Linked DNA regions of Mus musculus. The protein of the gene in region 1 interacts with the protein of each later gene in a pairwise test. Links are inferred from orthologs where the notes say so. Each region holds a gene or a part of one and is shown on either strand. Other genes may lie near its edges.

Region 1 (9,077 bases):
GGAAGAACGGAAGGGACAGGAAGAAATTTGGACGGTGGCCCTTTCTGGAAGCATGCTACAGGGTGGTGCTTTAATTTAGAGGAGGGGCTGATATTGTCCCTTCCCCTGGACTCACAAGGACTCACACCTTTCTGGGAGACTCTAACGGCAGCTCGGCCTGGAGAACACCAACAAACACATTGTTCTCCATGAGCACAGAGATGCTACAGGCAAAGTGCTGCCTACTCATGGCTTGGAGGATGCTAGCCAGGGAGGGAGGGGGCACACTACACTTATATGTCCAGCGGTCTATGAACCTGGGAATAAGCAGCAAGTAAGATCTTAAAAACAAACAAAGTGAAATCCTTTTAATAAAAGTCCTCACTGGGAGCCGGGCGTGGAGGCGCACACCTTTAATCCCAGCACTTGGGAGGCAGAGGCAGGTGGATTTCTGAGTTCGAGGCCAGCCTGGTCTACAAAGTGAGTTCCAGGACAGCCAGGGCTATACAGAGAAACCCTGTCTCGAAAAACCAAAAAAAAAAAAAAAAAAAAAAAAAAAAAAAGTCCTCACTGGGAAGTGAAATCGGGTATGCAGTGATCTTCATCATCAACCTGACTGGGTTGGGAATTACCTGGGAGACTCACCTTTGGGAAGATGCACCCTGAGTGTGGATACCACCACCCCAGAGTCCCACACTGAATAAAAAGGGACAAAGAGGAGGTGTGCTGAGCACCAGCTGTCATCTCTGCTGCCTCAGGATGTCATGTGACCATCTGCCTCAGGATGCCGGTGACTAGCAGTTGCCTCAGGCTCCATCCTCAGAGCCAGCCCTCCCTCTCTGCCTTGATGGCCACAGCCTCAACATGTGAAACAAGCCTTCCTCCTCCTCCTCCTCATGTTGCTTGTGATTTGTTTGTCCCCACCGGAACTAATACAAATATCAGAGACAAGGCTATCTGGTTTCTAATCTGCTACAAATGACAAACAACCTCCAGCATGGTGCCACAACCCTTAGCTCAGGGGTAGGGACTTCTAAAGAGGCTCTGGCAAGCCGGAAGTCTCACCCCTGGCCCAGATCCTCAGGCACAGTACAGTCACCTTCATAGCTCTGCATCCTTTACAGCAAGCAGGCCAGCATCCGGTGTAGCAGGGCAGTGCAGGGGAACTCAGGCCACACAATAGCCTATATGTATAGGCATCCATTCAGGCAAGCTCAAAAATGTATCTCACTATACTGTCAACTTGTGACAACTTGTCTAAAACCCTTTCTGAGCTGAGGGGAGGGGCTGGCTCAGTTGCTAAAGTTCTTGCCTGGTAAGCTACAGGACCCACATAAAAAAAGCCGGACATGGGGCAACTTACATCTGTAACCACAGTGCTGGGCACGGGGCGGGGGCAGCAGCGCTAGGCAGACCCCAAAAGCTCACTGGCTACCAGCCTAGCCAAACGGTTCAGTGAGAGATGCTGCCTCAACAAGCAAAGGTGTAGAGCCATCAAGGAAGACAGCGGATGTTGATCTTCAGCCTACACACACACACACACACACACACACACACACACACACACACACACACACTCACTCGTGGACGGGGACACACACACACACACACACACACCCTCACACCACACACACTGATGCAAACAGATACAAACACACAGATACATACAAACACACACACACACGCACACACAGATGACACAAATCCTTTCTTGCTATGCCTGGCGTGCCATAAAATGCAATGCACAACAGTGAGAACATGCAGCCCCCAAACCAGGCTGGCACAGAGCCAGCTAAAGGCAGCACCAGGGTCCCGGGATTTCCTAGGAGGTTGCTATTCTGACCGATCCCCCATTGTCCGGGCAAACAGCTTCTAACCTCTTTATTGTTGTTTTGTTTTGTCGTTGAGACAGCCCTGGCTATCCTGTATCTCACTATGTGGACCAGGCTGGCCTCAAAATAACAGAGATCCACCTGCCTGTGTCTTCGGGTTCCATCCTTGTCTCCCAGCCACTCTGGGATGAACCTGACTACCCAGGTATCAGCTGAACAAGACTCCTGAGTTCCCTGGTTTAGACAGTAGCTCTTGCAGCAGTGGGATAGTAATCATTTGCGCCCGGTTTTCAAAAAGGATCCATTCTATGTGAATGTCTGTTTCCTACATGTATGTATATGTGCACCATGTATGTGCAGTGCCAGCGGGGACAGAAGAGGGTGTGGGAGCCTCTGAAACTGCAGACAGTTGGGAGCCGTCATGGGGGTGCCAGGAACCATACCAGGGGCCCTTGCAAGAACGCCAAGTGCTCAGATCCACAGAGCCATCTCTGCAGCCTCTGACTCCCAGGGCTGATGCCCTGATAAACATGCAGGACACAAGAAGGTCACTTTCCCATCATCAATCCCACTCCACAAGGTCCTGCCACGTCTGCGAGACATCACTTCTAGGCCTTGGGATTGAAAACCAAGAAACAAAACCACCAAGAGCTCCCGGGAGCCAGCCAGAGAGCTGGGGCAGGAGCGAATGAACGCAACCCCTCGGAGGTACCTGCTGTTCCTCATGAGAGAGTTCTTCACGGAGCGCACAGCGTGCGGGAAGCGCTCCTGGCTGTACACTACCTTACCCCACATGAGGCAGATGACTCAGAAAGTGGTGCAGCGTTCTGGTTTATTTTTATTTAGGAACCAGCAGCTTCGTACTTGGCTAATAGTCAAACATGCTTCACCATGCTTTTTATAGATAATGAGAATCTAAATTACTTTAGACACAAATAAGCACAGTAACACACGCTCTTCCTATCTCAGCACCAGCAGCAACCATCTGGAGAAAGGCAAGCACCCCAGGGTGCCAGGGAGGTTCCAACGTTTCCCTGGTCCCTACCGGCCAGCCAGAGAGCAGCTTGCTGGTCACGTCTCCTTTGTTCAGTACAGACTCAGTTCTAACTACCTTTTTACAAAATGATTCTAAGCTCTTGGCTAGCCTAGGCTACAGAGTGAGACCCTGCCCCAGAAACTCTCCTGTACAAGTGTGAGGCCCTGAGTCTGGATTCCCAGAGCCCAAACAGAAAAGCCAGGTGTGGTGGTGTGTGCCTGGACTCTCAGCCCATGTACAAGGGGGAGACGCAGTGCCGCCCCCCCTCAAAAACACTAAACAAAACAAAACCCCCAAAACAACAACAAACAAAAATCCCTCCTTAAAGGGAATTGTCTTCGTTTTACAAGAAGATACACTTTTTTGCTTTTATAATTTGGTGCACTTTACCTAACTAACGCCCTCTCTACGCACTGGGTGAGTTAACCGTGTAACTGATAAAAGTTAAAACACGCTCACTCTGAGACATCAGACCGAGAGAGCTCTTGGTACCTTGGCAGCCCGAGCCACATGACCCAGGACGGGGACCAGCTGGCGTCGTACTCGTTCTCACTGAAGGCGCTCGGCTGCTCCTCGGTGGCCTGGGCTGCTTCCTCGGCGATCTGCACTTCCAGGGCCTTGAGGATGACGGCCGGAGACGCAGCGCTGGCTTTCAGCATGGCCACAGCCTCGCTGTGACTTAGGTTGGTCAGGTCAATGCCGTTGATGTTCAGCAACACGTCACCTGTGCCGTTGGGAAGGCCAGGAGAGTGAGTGACCCTAGTACCACGTGACTCCCCGAAGCTCCTGCTTGCCAACTAATTGATGGGGCGGTTTCAAGAGCTTGGATGGGTGGAAGTGGGGTTTTACAAAAGCATTTGTGCTTTTCTGTGCTACCAAGGACAACTCGTAGGAAACATTTTAAAACAGCTTGGAACTCAAACAAGGTCAGACTCCAGAGGAGCACACTGTGGCTTGAAGCACCTTGTGAGGCCCCCGAGTCTGAGTCACCATCTGGGTAGCTGTGTACAGGATGAGGGTGACAACTTCCCTCTTGAGCTTCTGAGAGCTCTACAGTTCTTTCTGAACACCAAACCATCTGATCCTTTGCTTTTAGAAATCACTTTTTTTTTTTAACAGATTCTATTTAATATTACACAATTTTATACATACAGGGCACACATCCCAGATCATGAGAGCAGCCACTCTCGGGACACTTGGTGATATGAAACATCTTCCCTTGCTTGAAGGGGAGCAGCATGTTTGTTGGTCTCCCAAGTTAGATGAAATAAAATAAGATAAAACAAAACAATAAAAAGGAGACACGGGGATTATTAAAGGATACAAGTGTAGGGGGTTGGTCTGACGCTGCTATATATTCAAACGTTAAGTACTGCTCCCCAAGACATGGCTGCCTCCATGAGCAGATCCTCCCATATACCAAGTGATGCTACGAGAACCTTGCTCCCCAATTGGTCAATAAAAGGCTAGAGCCTGTGACTGGGCAGTGGAGGGAGAAAGGTAGAACTTGAGGACCGAGTGAGGAGTCTCAGGTGAGGCCAAAGGGAGGAGAAAAAAGAACACGGAGGTGGTGGCTGCCGCCATGAGAGGAGACGGACCATGAACATGTGGCCAGGAGAAACAGCAAGTAACGAGGGACATAATGGCTGGGATGTAAGTTAGAATCGCTCCAAACCTGCCTAGGCTTCTGGCTTATAACAACCAGACTGTGTCTTTTGTGCAGGCTAGCTACAATGTTTTCCTCCTCTTACATAAAGGGGCTGAGAAAGGTTAGAGTTGTTCAGATGGTAGTGGTAGCATGTGTGTACAGAGAGAACATAAAACTGGGAGCTTGTTAAGCTGGGAATCTGCAGGTTTTTTTTCCTCTTCATTGCACTTCCTGTGTGAATCAGGTATTTGGCTTATTTTTGCTGTTGTGTAGAACAACATTTTGCTCCGTGAACCTGTGCTCGGAGCCCACTGCAGGTTAGGGGACGGAGGCCCCTGTCGGGCTTCATTGTTTGCTGCAGCATGGAGTGGTGGCAGGGCTCCTGCAGTAGCTTGACTCGGGAGCCACTATTTATGGAGGAGTGGCTGTCACAGAAACAACCCTTTTGTATAGTTCTTGAGGAAAGGTGGGGTTTGGATTGTTGTTTTGTGTAACTCAATTTCTGAGAGCACTACAAAAATAAACAAATAGCTGTGGAGTCAAAAAAAAAAAAATCTCGGGAAGCCCTTGTCCCATGTGTGCTCAACAACAAAGCCAAAACCAACCAAAACCCAAGAAGGAACTGAACTGTCACCAAATTCTATAATTGGCCAAGTACCTTAAGAAAAGATAGTAGCCTTGTTGAAATACACGCCCAGCACTGTGGGCTTTGGTCTGCCCGCCGCAGAGCACCACCACCGTGCCCGAGAACATTTTACAGCAGTCTGAGGGCATCAGAACCCTGTCTCTGGCAAGCAGTCGGGTGAGCTGTTTTCCATGCAATTGCCGCCTTAGGAGAAATGTCTATTTCTGTCCCTAAATTAGGTAATGTATGGTTTTAACTGATTTGGAAAAGTTCTGTACAATTCCTTGCTATGGCACGTACACATACATAAATGTATGATTTGTTACTGTTCATCCCACTCTGCAGGTTACCTAAGACATCACTGCCTAATTACAGGCCATAAGACTTGGCCTGTGGGCTCCTCACAAGGGCCTTAGTTTTTACACGGGGTCTTAAATTCATTGTGAGCTTGCTTGTGTGAGGTTGGGGAGGGAGCCCACCTTCATTCCTGGGAAAATAACTTTTCAGCTTTAATTTTCTTCCCATGTGAACCTCACCATAGAGACGGCTGCTCCGTCATGGCAACAGTGCTCACTTATATGGTTTCCCTTGTGCACATTAACAGACTTGAGGGGGCCATGGTGTGAAGGAGTCAAATCTCTGAACTAGCTTTGTCCTCCACACACGCTCTGCAGTGTCAGAACCCTGTCTTCTTTGCTGAGTTCTGGGCTTGGACGGCAGGCGCTTTTCCCTGCTCGGCCATCACACGGGTCCTGGGTGCTTTACTGTACCCAGCGCTGTATTTCAGGGACATGGTCTTCAGCACTATCTGCCAGGGCCGGGGGCGCAAGAATCTCAGAGGCTCTTTTCCAAGATAAAAATCAGCCGATGGTCCGAGTAACTGCAGAGTCTCGAACCACGGTCAGGGTTAATTCCTAACCTTACAGGAGAACACGACGTTTTCTATACAAGGACCCTTTTAAAAGAGTTTTAAAAGTCAGGTTTAACATGAAACACAGTAATTACTCCTTAAAAATGTGACTGTACTTCTGAGATTGGACCTTGCAGAGCTTCCAGGACTCTTGCCTGCCTTACCTCTCTTGATCCTGCCGTCTCGAGCGAGGCAGCCGTGGGGTGGCACGCTGGTCACAAAGATGGGCAGCTCACCACTCTTGCTCCCTCTGCCCCCAGCAACCGTCATCCCGAGGGATTCATGCGGCTCCTTCTTTACAGTGATGTGCTTCTCCTGGCACGTGACGCACCGGGTGAGGTCCTACGGTTCGAGGGAAGGCCTTGCATTTACCTGGAACTCACTCTGGCTGGCCTTGAACTCACAGAGATCCGCCCGCCTCTGTCTCCCGAGTGCTGGCACTGCAGCCTGTGCCACCACTGCCCAGCCAATAGATGGGGATTTTAATACCATGAAACCACACACTATCCACGTGTCTGTCAAAGCCTGCGATCCCCAGTCTCAGTGTTCGCACAGCTAATTCTCTTCCCGTAGGCAACGTGCCTAGCTGCTAACCACGGACTTTATCATGTTCTCACGATGCATTTTTCGTGGTAAATCTGATGATCACATCTGAGCAGGCAAGCCGAGAACCTGCTCCCAGGTAGCACTAAGCACAAGGACTGTCCTGGAGGGTCACTTCTTGTCACTCACCAGACAGATGAGAAACTACAGTGGCTGACGTGGGAGGAGACTCTCGGATTGCGAACCCCAAACACCTAGGCTCAGACCCCCAACAGAATGACAGCCTGCATTTCAGGCTTAAAACAAAAAAACAGACAAAACCCAACCAACCAAACAAAACCAAAAAGACCTGACTTTACGTTGTGTTGTGACTGGCAGGCATACACAAGGCCTACGCTTACACCTTTTTCGGGGTAACGGTGATCCTTAGAGGGCCACAGGGGTTGAAGGAGAGACCCGCCCCTCACCTTGTGTGAGCCCGGTCGGCTGTGCGAGGGTGGCTGAGCGTGGTTGCTGCTGCTGTGTGCTCCGGCCTCACGGCTGCCATTGCTGGGCTGGGGCTTCCCTGGTCTGGCAATTGTTAAGTTCACCCTCTCTCCACTGGCCTGGGGAAGACAGTTCATCAGTACCCATCACGGATGATTGCTTAAAGATTGCCAGTGGAACCCATTCTCTTCTCTCTCATCAAGGCAAGTTCTCACTGAGTAGCCCAAGGCTGGGGGCTCCAGCCTCAGGCCAGTGAATGCTACCACTTCGCAGTGCCTGGGATACTGTGATTTTCTGTGTACCAGTTAGTCCCTCAGCAAAGCCTCATGGGCAGTCACTACCTGGTGGCAGGAGGGTCACAGGCTAGTATTTTCAAACCTTTTACACGGAAACACACAGTCACTCTCACACACACACAGTCATACAAATATACACAGACACACACACACATGCAAAATTAAATTTAATATAAAAATTGCTGTGTTTTCTGCTCTTCAGTTGGAAAATAAGTGACAAACAGCTTTGATACTGCACTAAGCCATTCACCCACCAGCAGCAGCTCCAGGCTCTGAGAGGCAGATGATTGCTACGTCGCACGGTGGGGAGTGTCAGGTGGCTACTGGGCTTTCTTATAATACACGCTCATTGTCATTACTGTTCATACCCAGAGCTCCAAACCAGCATTTCAGCCGTCCTTGGAAACTGCTTTGACAAGTTTACTGGTTGACGTGAACCCTTGCTTTTCTTGAAATGAGGTAAAACTGAGGTGTCAACACTGTACAAACAAGTGCATGGGACCACAGGCTCTAGGAAAACAGTCCACAACACCCTAAGCAAGTGGCACACACACAAACACAGCTCTGTTTAGGGAGTTATATATAACAGTGTAGATTCTGAAGGCTGCTTTTTAGATAACCATGTCTGATTTTCCAAAGAACCATCGCTGGTCCTGGTTATGCGCCAGTGAAAACAGACACGGCCGTGTGAGGATCCAGGCTCAGGACAGGGCATTTACCTGAATAATCTGGGCAGCGAGCTCTGGGGTCCCATGCTTCAGGTCATGCCCGTTGATGGCCAGCACCCGGTCATTGCTGTTGAGCCTGCCGTCCTGTGCTGCCAGCCCCCCTTCCAGGAGGTCAAGAATGAAAACGCCCGGCTCATCTGTCCTTCGGACTAGTTTAATGCCGAGCTGCTCTGTCGAGTCTCGCTTGTGGAGCAGCACCTGGAAGACCTCGTCCCGTGGCGCGCTGCCGTCCGCGTGGCTGTTGGCACGGCTGCCAAAGCGCCTCTCCCGCAGCACTGTCAGCTGCAGCGTGCTGCAGGGCTGGGAAAGCACGGCCCGGGCGTGGTTGTGGGACACGTTGCTGATGTCATAGTTGTTGACCTACGACAAACAGACAAACAGAACTCCTATGACCTTATATGTATATGACATTATAGTATTCTATATTCCTAACTTGCAGAAATGTCCAGATGACATCTCCAAAGGAAAGCAATATGGAGAAAACACTACAGGATCCCTATCTACAAGGAAAAGGCCTCTAAAGACTTTTACAGCAGAGAATTTAAAATGCACTACAGCACAGTGTTGTACTTAGGACACAGAAGTCGGTGACACTCTGGGATTACAGTCCTCGGGTCTGCTAGTTATTTATTGGTAACCTGGGGGAATATGGAATTTGGCTCCTCAGGGTCCACTCTACTTCCCAGAACCAGTGTGAGAGAGAGCAGGCTAGCTACATCCTGGCAGGGCAAGCCACATCAGACAGCTCTAGTGCTCCCAGGCTCGCAGGCTCGCAGGCTCAGGTTCCTGGACTTCAAAGCTGCTTTACCTAACGAAACACACTTACTTTAGACAAAATAAATCATTTTATTTCTTAAAAAGTTGCATATTCTGAGTGACTTTTAAAGTATGTAATTACAATTCCACTCTAATTATCAGCATACTCATATAATGCATATTTAATATGCTGAGTGTAATTCAATATTCATGTACTCATTAGAATGTACAGCCTTGA
Region 2 (9,077 bases), on another chromosome or scaffold:
TAAGGTTAGCCGTGCAAATAACTCCACAATTCTATTTTTAAAACGAGGAATGTATCATCCAAGTTCAGAAGCCATTAGAAGTGCTGTCCACTGAGAAGTTCAGGCCTCACAACAGCAAGGCTTAGGTAGTGAGTAGCTACAGGAAGTTAGCCTCACCATGGCAACAGGTAATACCTTAGGTGACACATTAGCAGTTGCATCCAGGGAGAAATAGCAAAAAGAGGATTTTCCAGGGCCAGACAAAAGGCCCACAGAGAACTGGGATAGGTTCTAGCCAATTTCTGCCCACAGTCAGTGGAGTCTAACAGCTGGCTGTCCCATCATCTGCAGACAGACACTCCTTAGAGAAGTCAGAACAAAGACAGCCAGTGCACGCAAGCCCTCTCCAGCCTCTGTGTCTTGGGATGGATTTGTGCATGACCATGGATGTGTGCAAAATATGAGATCAACTATGTTCCATCTCCAAAGAGAGAGAGAGAAGTCTTCTTCAGCATGTCTTGCTCTTCCAGGCAGCACATTCATTCCTTATATAAATCCTTTTATTTATTTTATTTTATTTTTTTAGATTTATTTATTATTATAAATAAGTACACTGTAGCTGTCTTCAGATGCACCAGAAGAGGGCATCAAGTCTCATTACGCATGGTTGTGAGCCACCATATGGTGCTAGGATTTGAACTCAGGACCTTCAGAAGAGCAGTCAGTGCTCTTACCTGCTGAGCCATCTTGCCAGCCTCGCTTACATAAATTCTTATAAGTGAATCTGTAAGAAAATTCACTTTTATATTGAAAAATTATTTTAAAAACCCTACTGTGACAAAAGATAGAAGGACAACAGGCCAGCACACATGGGCCAGATAGAGTCAGGCATCAGACAAGACACGACAAAAGGAATCCATCTGAAGCCATTTCTGGGGATCTGGATGTGTCTCCCACTTTTCTTCCCACCTGGGCCGGTGTTGGGGTCTCTCACAGGGTGGTCTGGGCTTTACGGTTTGGAGAGAAGCACCCCTGGAACTTTGTGAACCAAAGCTGGGGTTCCAGGGCTGGGTTCCACCACACTAGAGGACACATAGACCAGCCCCATGGGATGTCTCAGTGGCTCTTATGGCTGTCATCAATGGGTCACCTTCCATCTTTGAGCAAAATGTCAGATTTGGTGATACAGAGATTGGAAGCAAGAGGTTAGATAAAACCATATCAAATCATTCTACTAGAGCATTGTTTAATATCTCAATTGCACCGCTGTACATACAATCTAGTTTTCAAAACATAAAAAGAGAGCCAATCTCATACAAAGACACAAATTCTTACTCCTAGCTCACAGTGCACCACAGACTTAACCGTAAGAATCAAAACTGAAGCCGGGCGTGGTGGCGCACGCCTTTAATCCCAGCACTTGGGAGGCAGAGGCAGGTGAATTTCTGAGTTCGAGGCCAGCCTGGTCTACAGAGCAAGTTCCAGGACAGCCAGGACTACACAGAGAAACCCTGTCTCGAAAAACCAAAAAAAAAAAAAAAAAAAAAGAATCAAAACTGAAAACCTACTAGGCGCTGGGATGGCATCTTCATGACATGGGGTAGGGTGAAGTCTTCTTATATATGACACAAGACAGAAAACAAAAATAAAAGCCAAAAGCAAGTAGACCTCATCAAAAGTTAGTTGGCTTGTGTCAAATATATGTGAAATTCGTGTAAGTCAATAGAAAGATAAGCAGTAAAACTTAGGGCAAGGGACTGAGCTGTAACCTCTCCCTCTCAGCCTGAAATCTGGCTGGCCAGGTTTGACTGCTAGGAGAGCATCAGGGGTGGAGCCTGCCACCCTATCGGTCTGCCACTCCCACTGCTACTACCTGCCGCCTAGCTGTTCTGGAGCCAAACACGTGGTCACCTGCAACTGGACTCCAAGGATGATTTGGCGGGAATGGGCCCCTCCCCCTTCTTCATAACCTGCTGTCTCGGAATAGTAAAATTGAACCTTGATCAGACTGATTGATGTCTTGGTTCCATTCTCTCTCGTGCCGCCTAGTTCCCTCTTTTCTTCCAGATTCCAAGATGCTTCCCAGGCTAGAACCCAGACACGTGGGCCGCTGGCGGCCTCAACTGTTAGCGGTGGAGTACTGGACTAGCACACTTGAGGTCCTGTGATCAATCCCCAACACCACCAAACAGCAAAAATAAAACCAGAAAGGCCAAGAACATGAGCAGAGAGTCCTACAAAGGAGACGTATACAAAATAGCCAAGACAGTGTGAAAAGACGGTAGGCACCGAAAGACCACAGAGGTTGGCCCGATGATGGTGACTGCGACAGAACAGACGGACAAGAAGCTCCAGCAAAGAGAAGAGACTGTCGGTGGTGGTGTCAGATGGTGACATTGACTGGAAAGCAAAGACTAAGGTTAATCAAGTCTACCCAAGAATCTGTCACATATGGTTTCAAGACAGGGTCTCTCTATCTGTGTATCCCTGGCTGTCCCTGAACTAGCTTCATAGAACAGGGTGGCACTGAACTAACAGAGATTCGCCTGACTCTGCCTCCTGAGTGCTGGGATTTAAGGCATGCATGGCCACCACCGCCACCGCTCAGCTTAAACTCGGTTTCTGTACGACCCAGCAATTCCGATCCAACTCCCACACAAACACTCTCCCTAGGCAGCTTATGCAGCTTTATCCATAACAGCTGAACGTAAGAACAGTGCGAACAGCCGGGAACAGCCATCAGCTTCTGAAGAGGCCAAAATGATTCGGTACACACGTCTGCAGGGTGTGTGAACCGGGTTCTGAGTGGCCTCTCTATCTCCTCACTGAGGTCCAGGATGGTCCCCACGGTCACTAACCTGCCATTTGATTTTCCACCAGGTGCTCCAGGGGCAGCCGGATGGAGTCGTGTTCCACTGTGCAAGTGATAAAATGGGGCCTGGTCCCCTCTTCTGGGCTGTGCTGGTCAACCATGTTCCCCTTCAGGGTCTGCTGTTCATGGAAGCATCTTACCATAGAGTGGATTACTAAATTATTTGACTGCAGAGACACAACAGAGAGAGAGCCTTCACCAAAGCTGCCAGTGGAGAGAGAGGAAGCTCTCAATCGCTCATTATTCTCCTTCCTGCCTAACACAGCAAAAGGAAAAACCCAGAGAAAACCAACCTCCTGACAGGCCTGCGCCTTCAGACAGCTCCGAACATTAAATACTCTAGAGCTCACTTCAAGTGTGTCTGTTTTGTTAGTAAGCCCAAACTTTCATATTACATAAATCTGACAAGAAGAAGAATTCTACCCCACGCTGGAGGAACACAAGCTGGAGGGATACACAGGCACAAATATAAGATAAAAGAAAAAAATAAAAAATCAAATTAAAGTTAAAATATACCTCTGCCATCAGAGCGCAAGCTATTCCACACAGTATTTGGCCCCAGATCCTGGCCAGCAGAATCTGCCTCGGAGTTTCTTTTCTCCCCAGAGCCTGTGAGTCACCTGTTCTGCCTCAGGGTACATTATTCCCAGTTAGCACTAGCATTTACACTTCTGCACTGGTCAGGAGAGGCTGGGAAGGGTAGAAAGCCCTGGGGCTTCCCTCATGGCCGCACCTGTGTTCAAATCTGTAGTGGCTATTCCTGGTGGTCAACTTGACTATATCTGGAATTAACTACAATCCAGAATTGGAAGGCTCACCAGTGATCCTAATCTGGAGGCTGGGAGATAGAAGTTTCTGATCTGGATCTTGGTATAGAGATCTTGAGGCATAGTGGCTATGAATTCCAAACATTAAGACAGGGAGACGTGTGAGTTCAAGGTCATCTGGGATTAAAGGCATGGTGGTACATACCTTTAATCTGGGCCACACCTTCTGCTGGAGACCTACATAAGGACGTTGGAAGAAGGAAGATTTACACTCTTTCTCTCCTTCTGCCTGCTTGCCTTGTGGGACTGAGCAACTGCTAGATCCTTTGACTTCCATTCACACAGCTGCTGCTGACCATTGTTGGGAGTTGGACTACAGACTGTAAGTCATCAACAAATTCCCTTACTATATAGAGATGACCCATAAGTTCTGTGACTCTAGAGACCGCTGACTAATACAAAGTCTCTGACTCGTTTGCTGGCTGTTATCCCCCTGTGAGTTGTGCGAGTCCCCCAGCTGTCCTGGGTGCTAGCTGTTGGTCAGCTCCGTGAGATGAAAGCCTTTTTCAAATGCTCTTTGACTTTCCTTGAAGTATTCTCCGATAATGCAAAGTTTATCTGTTACTGTTTGCTGGAACACAATTCAGTGTCTCCCTGGTTGGTTTTGGCTCATACATGTGATCTTCCTGCCTCGGCTGCCCAGCCCAATGCTCTCCTTTAAAGTAGACCCTATCCACACTTGCTTTGAGAAACCTTTCGTTGTCAGACACTACAGAGGTACTGAGGCAGCAGCTAAGGACTTTCTTTTTCTTTTTTTTTTTTAAAGATTTATTTTATTTATATGAGTACACTGTAGCTGTCTTCAGACACACCAGAAGAGGGTATTCCATTATGGATGGCCGAAAGCCACCATGTGGTTGCTGGGAATTGAACACAGGACCTTCGGAAGAGCAGCCAGTGCTCTTAACCGCCAATCCATCTCTCCAGCCCCCAGCTAAGGACTTTCTAATGTCACTTCTTGGTCCCATCTCTGCTGAACAGCAGAAGTTGACTCCTGGGTCCAGTGGCAGCACAGTTAGGCAGGGTTCCCTACGATCTGCCCACTCACTCACATGACAGTCTTATGCCCTACTACTGTATGGACAATGGCTGTCCAGGCCTGTCCTGAGCAGGCAAGATGTGTGGCCACCTAGTCTCGCAGCAAGTGTTCGCACTGACACACTGTCTCTGACCAAATGTCTATCCTTGCTAAAGCTGTCTGCGTAGCTATGGGAGCTCTTACAGTCTTGGTTTGGGGAGTGTCCACCCTTCTCATTGGGCAGCTAATCTTCCAGAAGCCTTGACTCTTAGCTTCTACATGAGTTCATTTGTGAGAGTTCATTGTCAGAATTTTAACAGAGGCTGTACTGAGTCAGCTGATTGGTTTTAAAAGAACCCACATCCTCCAATCTGCAAAGCAGGGTCAGAACTTCTTAGGAGGCCCCAGGAAATGTCTGTCACCTCCCTGGGAGGTCTCACCAGTTCTTTTCTACTGGATCTATTTCCTAAGTGACATTTTTATGTCCTGGTCAATGCCTATTACAGACACAAAACAAAACAAAAAACAAGAAGCAAAAACCAACCAACCAACCAATCAACCAACAAACTAAAACCAACCAACCAAACAAAAAACCCCCAAACCAATTGACTTTTAATCTAAAAACTGCTGTGGCTGAAGTAACCTGTGATCCACAGCTAACAACTGTTCCTGATGTGACCCCACCCCTACCCCATCATTGCCTTTTGGTAAAGGCAGCAGCTTTACCTCGGTGCCCCCAGAAGTGAAGATGATGTCCTGGGGCTTTCCACCTATCATCTTGGCCAGGCTCGCTCGAGCTGCATTTATAATGTCCTTGGCCTTCCTACCTTGAAGGACAAAAAACATGGTCATTACTAGCAATTCCACATCTAACAGAGCAACTAGATAAGGGAAGCCAAGGACTGGGGTGATTCTAAAAGGAGACACACCCACTAAAAGGAGCACACTTTCCTACCACTTGGTGGGGCATCAGCAAAGGGGCCACATTGAGAGACTTAGGAAGTCAGTGCCCACCACCGGAACTCAGTGAGAGCCAGGGGCAGCTTGGTTGGGGGGAATCTAGGCTCCCCCAGCACAGCTTTTCTTTCTTACTGGATGCTAGAGGAGGGGGTGCTATGGCTAGCCGCCCACCTTCCCACCATTCATGATAGGACAAGGAACCACAGAAGTAACCAAACAGAACATGAGGCTTTACACACCCGGTCAGCCAGTGCCTTCTCTCAACCTCAGGTCAGCCTTGGGAGACACAGGAGGAAGGTTGGAAGCATTTGCCTTCAATTAGGTGTCCTGGCTGCTGCCCAGTTGCACTGAACACTGTGTCAGAGGAAGGTGGCTCTATGCGGCTCTCAGCCAACATACCAGTGGTCCCTACATTTGATGCTGGGTCCAGACCAGCTTTCCCATGCTGCCCAGTAGGCCAGAACCTCTCCCCTTCTCCGCTCACTTCCAAATGCTGTTGGCTGTTACAAGCAAGGCCACATCTGGAGCACTCAAACTCTTCCCACAGAACCTCAGCACACATTGCTGTAGATTTTAAAACCTAATACTGTGACACACTAAAACATCTGTGATGAGCTGGGGTGGTGGTACATGCCTTTAATCCTAGCACTCTGGAGGCAGACACAGGTGGATCTCTGTGAATTTGAGGCAGGCTTGGGCTACAGAGTAAATTCCCGGAAGCCAGAGCTACACAGTGAGATCCCATCTGCCTTGAAAACAAGACAGGCAAACATTTGTGATTCATGATTTTCACTTTTCTTGGCATTTCTACTCAAATATCAACAGAAAGCAGCTGGGATGTCACCCAGGCCAGCAACGGTCTCCCACTGTGTGCCCCACTTCCTGTTGACCCTTAATCTTCTTGGCCTTCTCTAGTGTACCCTAACAGAAGTTTGACTATACTACAGGGGACATTAGGCAGATGGCAATGTCCAGAAATAAGGCAACAGACAAGTTAATGGGTGACTAGCATCTGATCTGGAAAGTCTGTGTCACTGAGTTGCTGGGGAGCTTTCAATAAGCAACTGCTATGACCCACCAAACCCCTTACGGAGGGACAGAGGTACCAGTAAGACCTGGTGGCAGATCAGTTAGCTTGGGTCATCTTTAGTCCCCTGGCTGGCACTCATTTCCCAATAAACCATCATTAATGTGGCTTGTCTTAGTTACCCTAATTACACAGTGCAGGGCTGGGTGCGGGGCCCTTGCCTTCTGCTGATAAACATTAACTAGGAAGGCAAAGCATGATTAGCCTCCAAGTCTGTGGAGAAAATGTGGAATGCTGTCTTTTTGACTACTGACTTGAAGCAAATTATCATCCAAAAATGCAAAAATTTAAAACTCTACACCACAAAGGCAAACTAGAAAGAAGTAAGAATATAATTATAAGCCTGGCAGTGGTGGCACATGCCTTTAATCCCAGCCTGTGGGATGTGTAGTTCCTAGCTAGGATATCATACAGGGACAGAAGACTTTAAGAATCAAGTCAGGTATATAATTGTAACATGATGCTAATTTACATAGAAGACACTATGTAGACTTTAGTGACACAATGCTTAAAGATTAGAACGTAATTATTTTGTTTCCATTTTTCTAAAGTGTGCTTAAAAAAAAACTCTTGGGAATTCTGTTAAGCAATATAGGCATTGTACTAACTTTAAAGTTGAAAGAAAAATGAAAGTCCACCCCATTCCCAAACAAAACCATCTCATGTAAGCATACACTTTATATACCCCCACCCATTTTTGTTTGTTTTTTATTTGAGACACGGATTCTCAGTTTAGGTAGCCCTGGCTGTCCAGGAACTCACTTTGTAGACCAGGCTGGCTTTGAACTCTGAGAGCAGTCTGCCTCTGAGTGCTGGGATTAAAGGCACATGCCACCAAGTCAGGTTAGTATACACTTTCTCTAAGAGGCTTCTGGTTCCCTTTATTGTCATGGATTCTTCTAGATTACCTGACACATAGGAGCTGCTGGGGTTTCCCCAGGCTTCCTTCATGGCCTCTGTCACAGCCTGGATGACTTCGGGCTCTAGAGGTGTGGTGGCATTATAGTCCATATAGACCTTCCTGGAAGAGAGAATAGCCTGTAAAGTTTGGGGAGGCAGAGTATAGCAGCAATACTCTTTTGGGGGACCACAGTGAGGGTCTTCTGCATCTAGAGTGAAGGCCCAGGTAGGCTATTAGACCTCAGCTCTCCATGTTCTCCCTCCTGATGGGAGACACCATGGTTTCCAGTCACCCAGTAGCTGCCCCATACAAGATGGCCATAATCTCCCCTAGCATGAGGCTGACTGATGGCTGGAGGCCAGAGATGCGGCCCAACTCCAGGAAGGGAGGGAGGAAGGATCTGCCAATGGCTGGGGAGTCCCACATTCCCCTGGGTAATTTCCCAACAACTTGGAGCCATCTGCCCCTTCCAGTCCTCCAGGAACTGCCTCTAGGAAGGAGCTTTGTACTCATCTTTGCTGGAGGCTTCCCAGGGCTATGGCTGTCCCCTCCCTGGCTTTTACTGGGCAGGTCTCTCCCTGGGGCAACTTGCATTTTCAGTTTTTCTTGCCCCACCCCCACTCTACCTAAACTTTTTAAAGTCTGTGCTTCAGCAGATCTGTTTGGATGAGGCTCCAGGGTTCGATTGGAAACTGTAGGCCGCACGCAGCCTGGCCCTCTTCCTTCCCTCCCTCCCTCCCTGTCTTCCGCTGTGGACCCATTCATCATCTGACCCAAGAGTCACATGCTTAGTGTCCTCTCTAGGGAGCAAGTGATGAGCAGCTCCAGGAACAAGCAGGCTTTGTCTTCCTATGTAGGAACTTCATCCACAGGACACAGAGTTCAAAGCCCCAGAGACCCTCCCTAAGGAGAGTTATCTGCTTGTGTTCTCACCAGGGTCCCAGACCTTCGGAAATCTCTATGGTAGGCAATCGGGCCTGAAAACAGTCATTATTTCACTTGGTTTTACATCAAACCAGTGTTCAAGCCGATGCAGTGGTGAGCCAGCACACACTGCCCAACTATGTCCAGGGGAGCACGGCAGAACAGGCAGGAAGAAGCTTTCATCTCCTATCTTTGCTTTAAGTGCCACGCAGTCACCTGATCTTGCAAGGCTGGGCTTTGTAATGTGGACCTACCTGACCACCCTGGGGCTGGAATTCCCATTGCCGCAGGCTTTGCCTGTGTCCCAAGTCTGTTCCTTCCTAGAAATAAAGAGCCCCCAAAGTGCTGCACACCCATAGGCCTGCCAAGTGACTGGTTTTCCCATCTATAGCTTGGCCGAACTGGTTTATGGTTTGCATTTTATCAGCGATTGACTCTGTTATTAGCGGGCTTCCTAGAGAAAGTGAAACTGCTTAATAAACGTCTGGTATAGGCTCAAGCCACCAGGC

The links.
Region 2: the proteins of Lnx2 (region 1) and Scly interact in binary tests that used the Homo sapiens proteins (3 or more experiments, as listed by UniProt). The link is inferred for Mus musculus from reciprocal best matches to the Homo sapiens genes LNX2 and SCLY.

Annotation. Positions count from the first base shown.
Region 1 is NC_000071.6:147,021,013-147,030,089, forward strand, and holds part of Lnx2 (ligand of Numb protein X 2), read right to left. Parts: intron 8,444-9,077; coding exon 8,075-8,443; intron 7,179-8,074; coding exon 7,041-7,178; intron 6,373-7,040; coding exon 6,195-6,372; intron 3,572-6,194; coding exon 3,340-3,571; intron 1-3,339.
Region 2 is NC_000067.6:91,299,215-91,308,291, reverse strand, and holds part of Scly (selenocysteine lyase), read right to left. Parts: exon of another isoform or gene 8,889-9,077; coding exon of another isoform or gene 8,823-8,888; intron 7,765-8,822; coding exon 7,652-7,764; intron 5,524-7,651; coding exon 5,423-5,523; intron 3,019-5,422; coding exon 2,838-3,018; intron 1-2,837. UniProt on the Homo sapiens protein: Catalyzes the decomposition of L-selenocysteine to L-alanine and elemental selenium.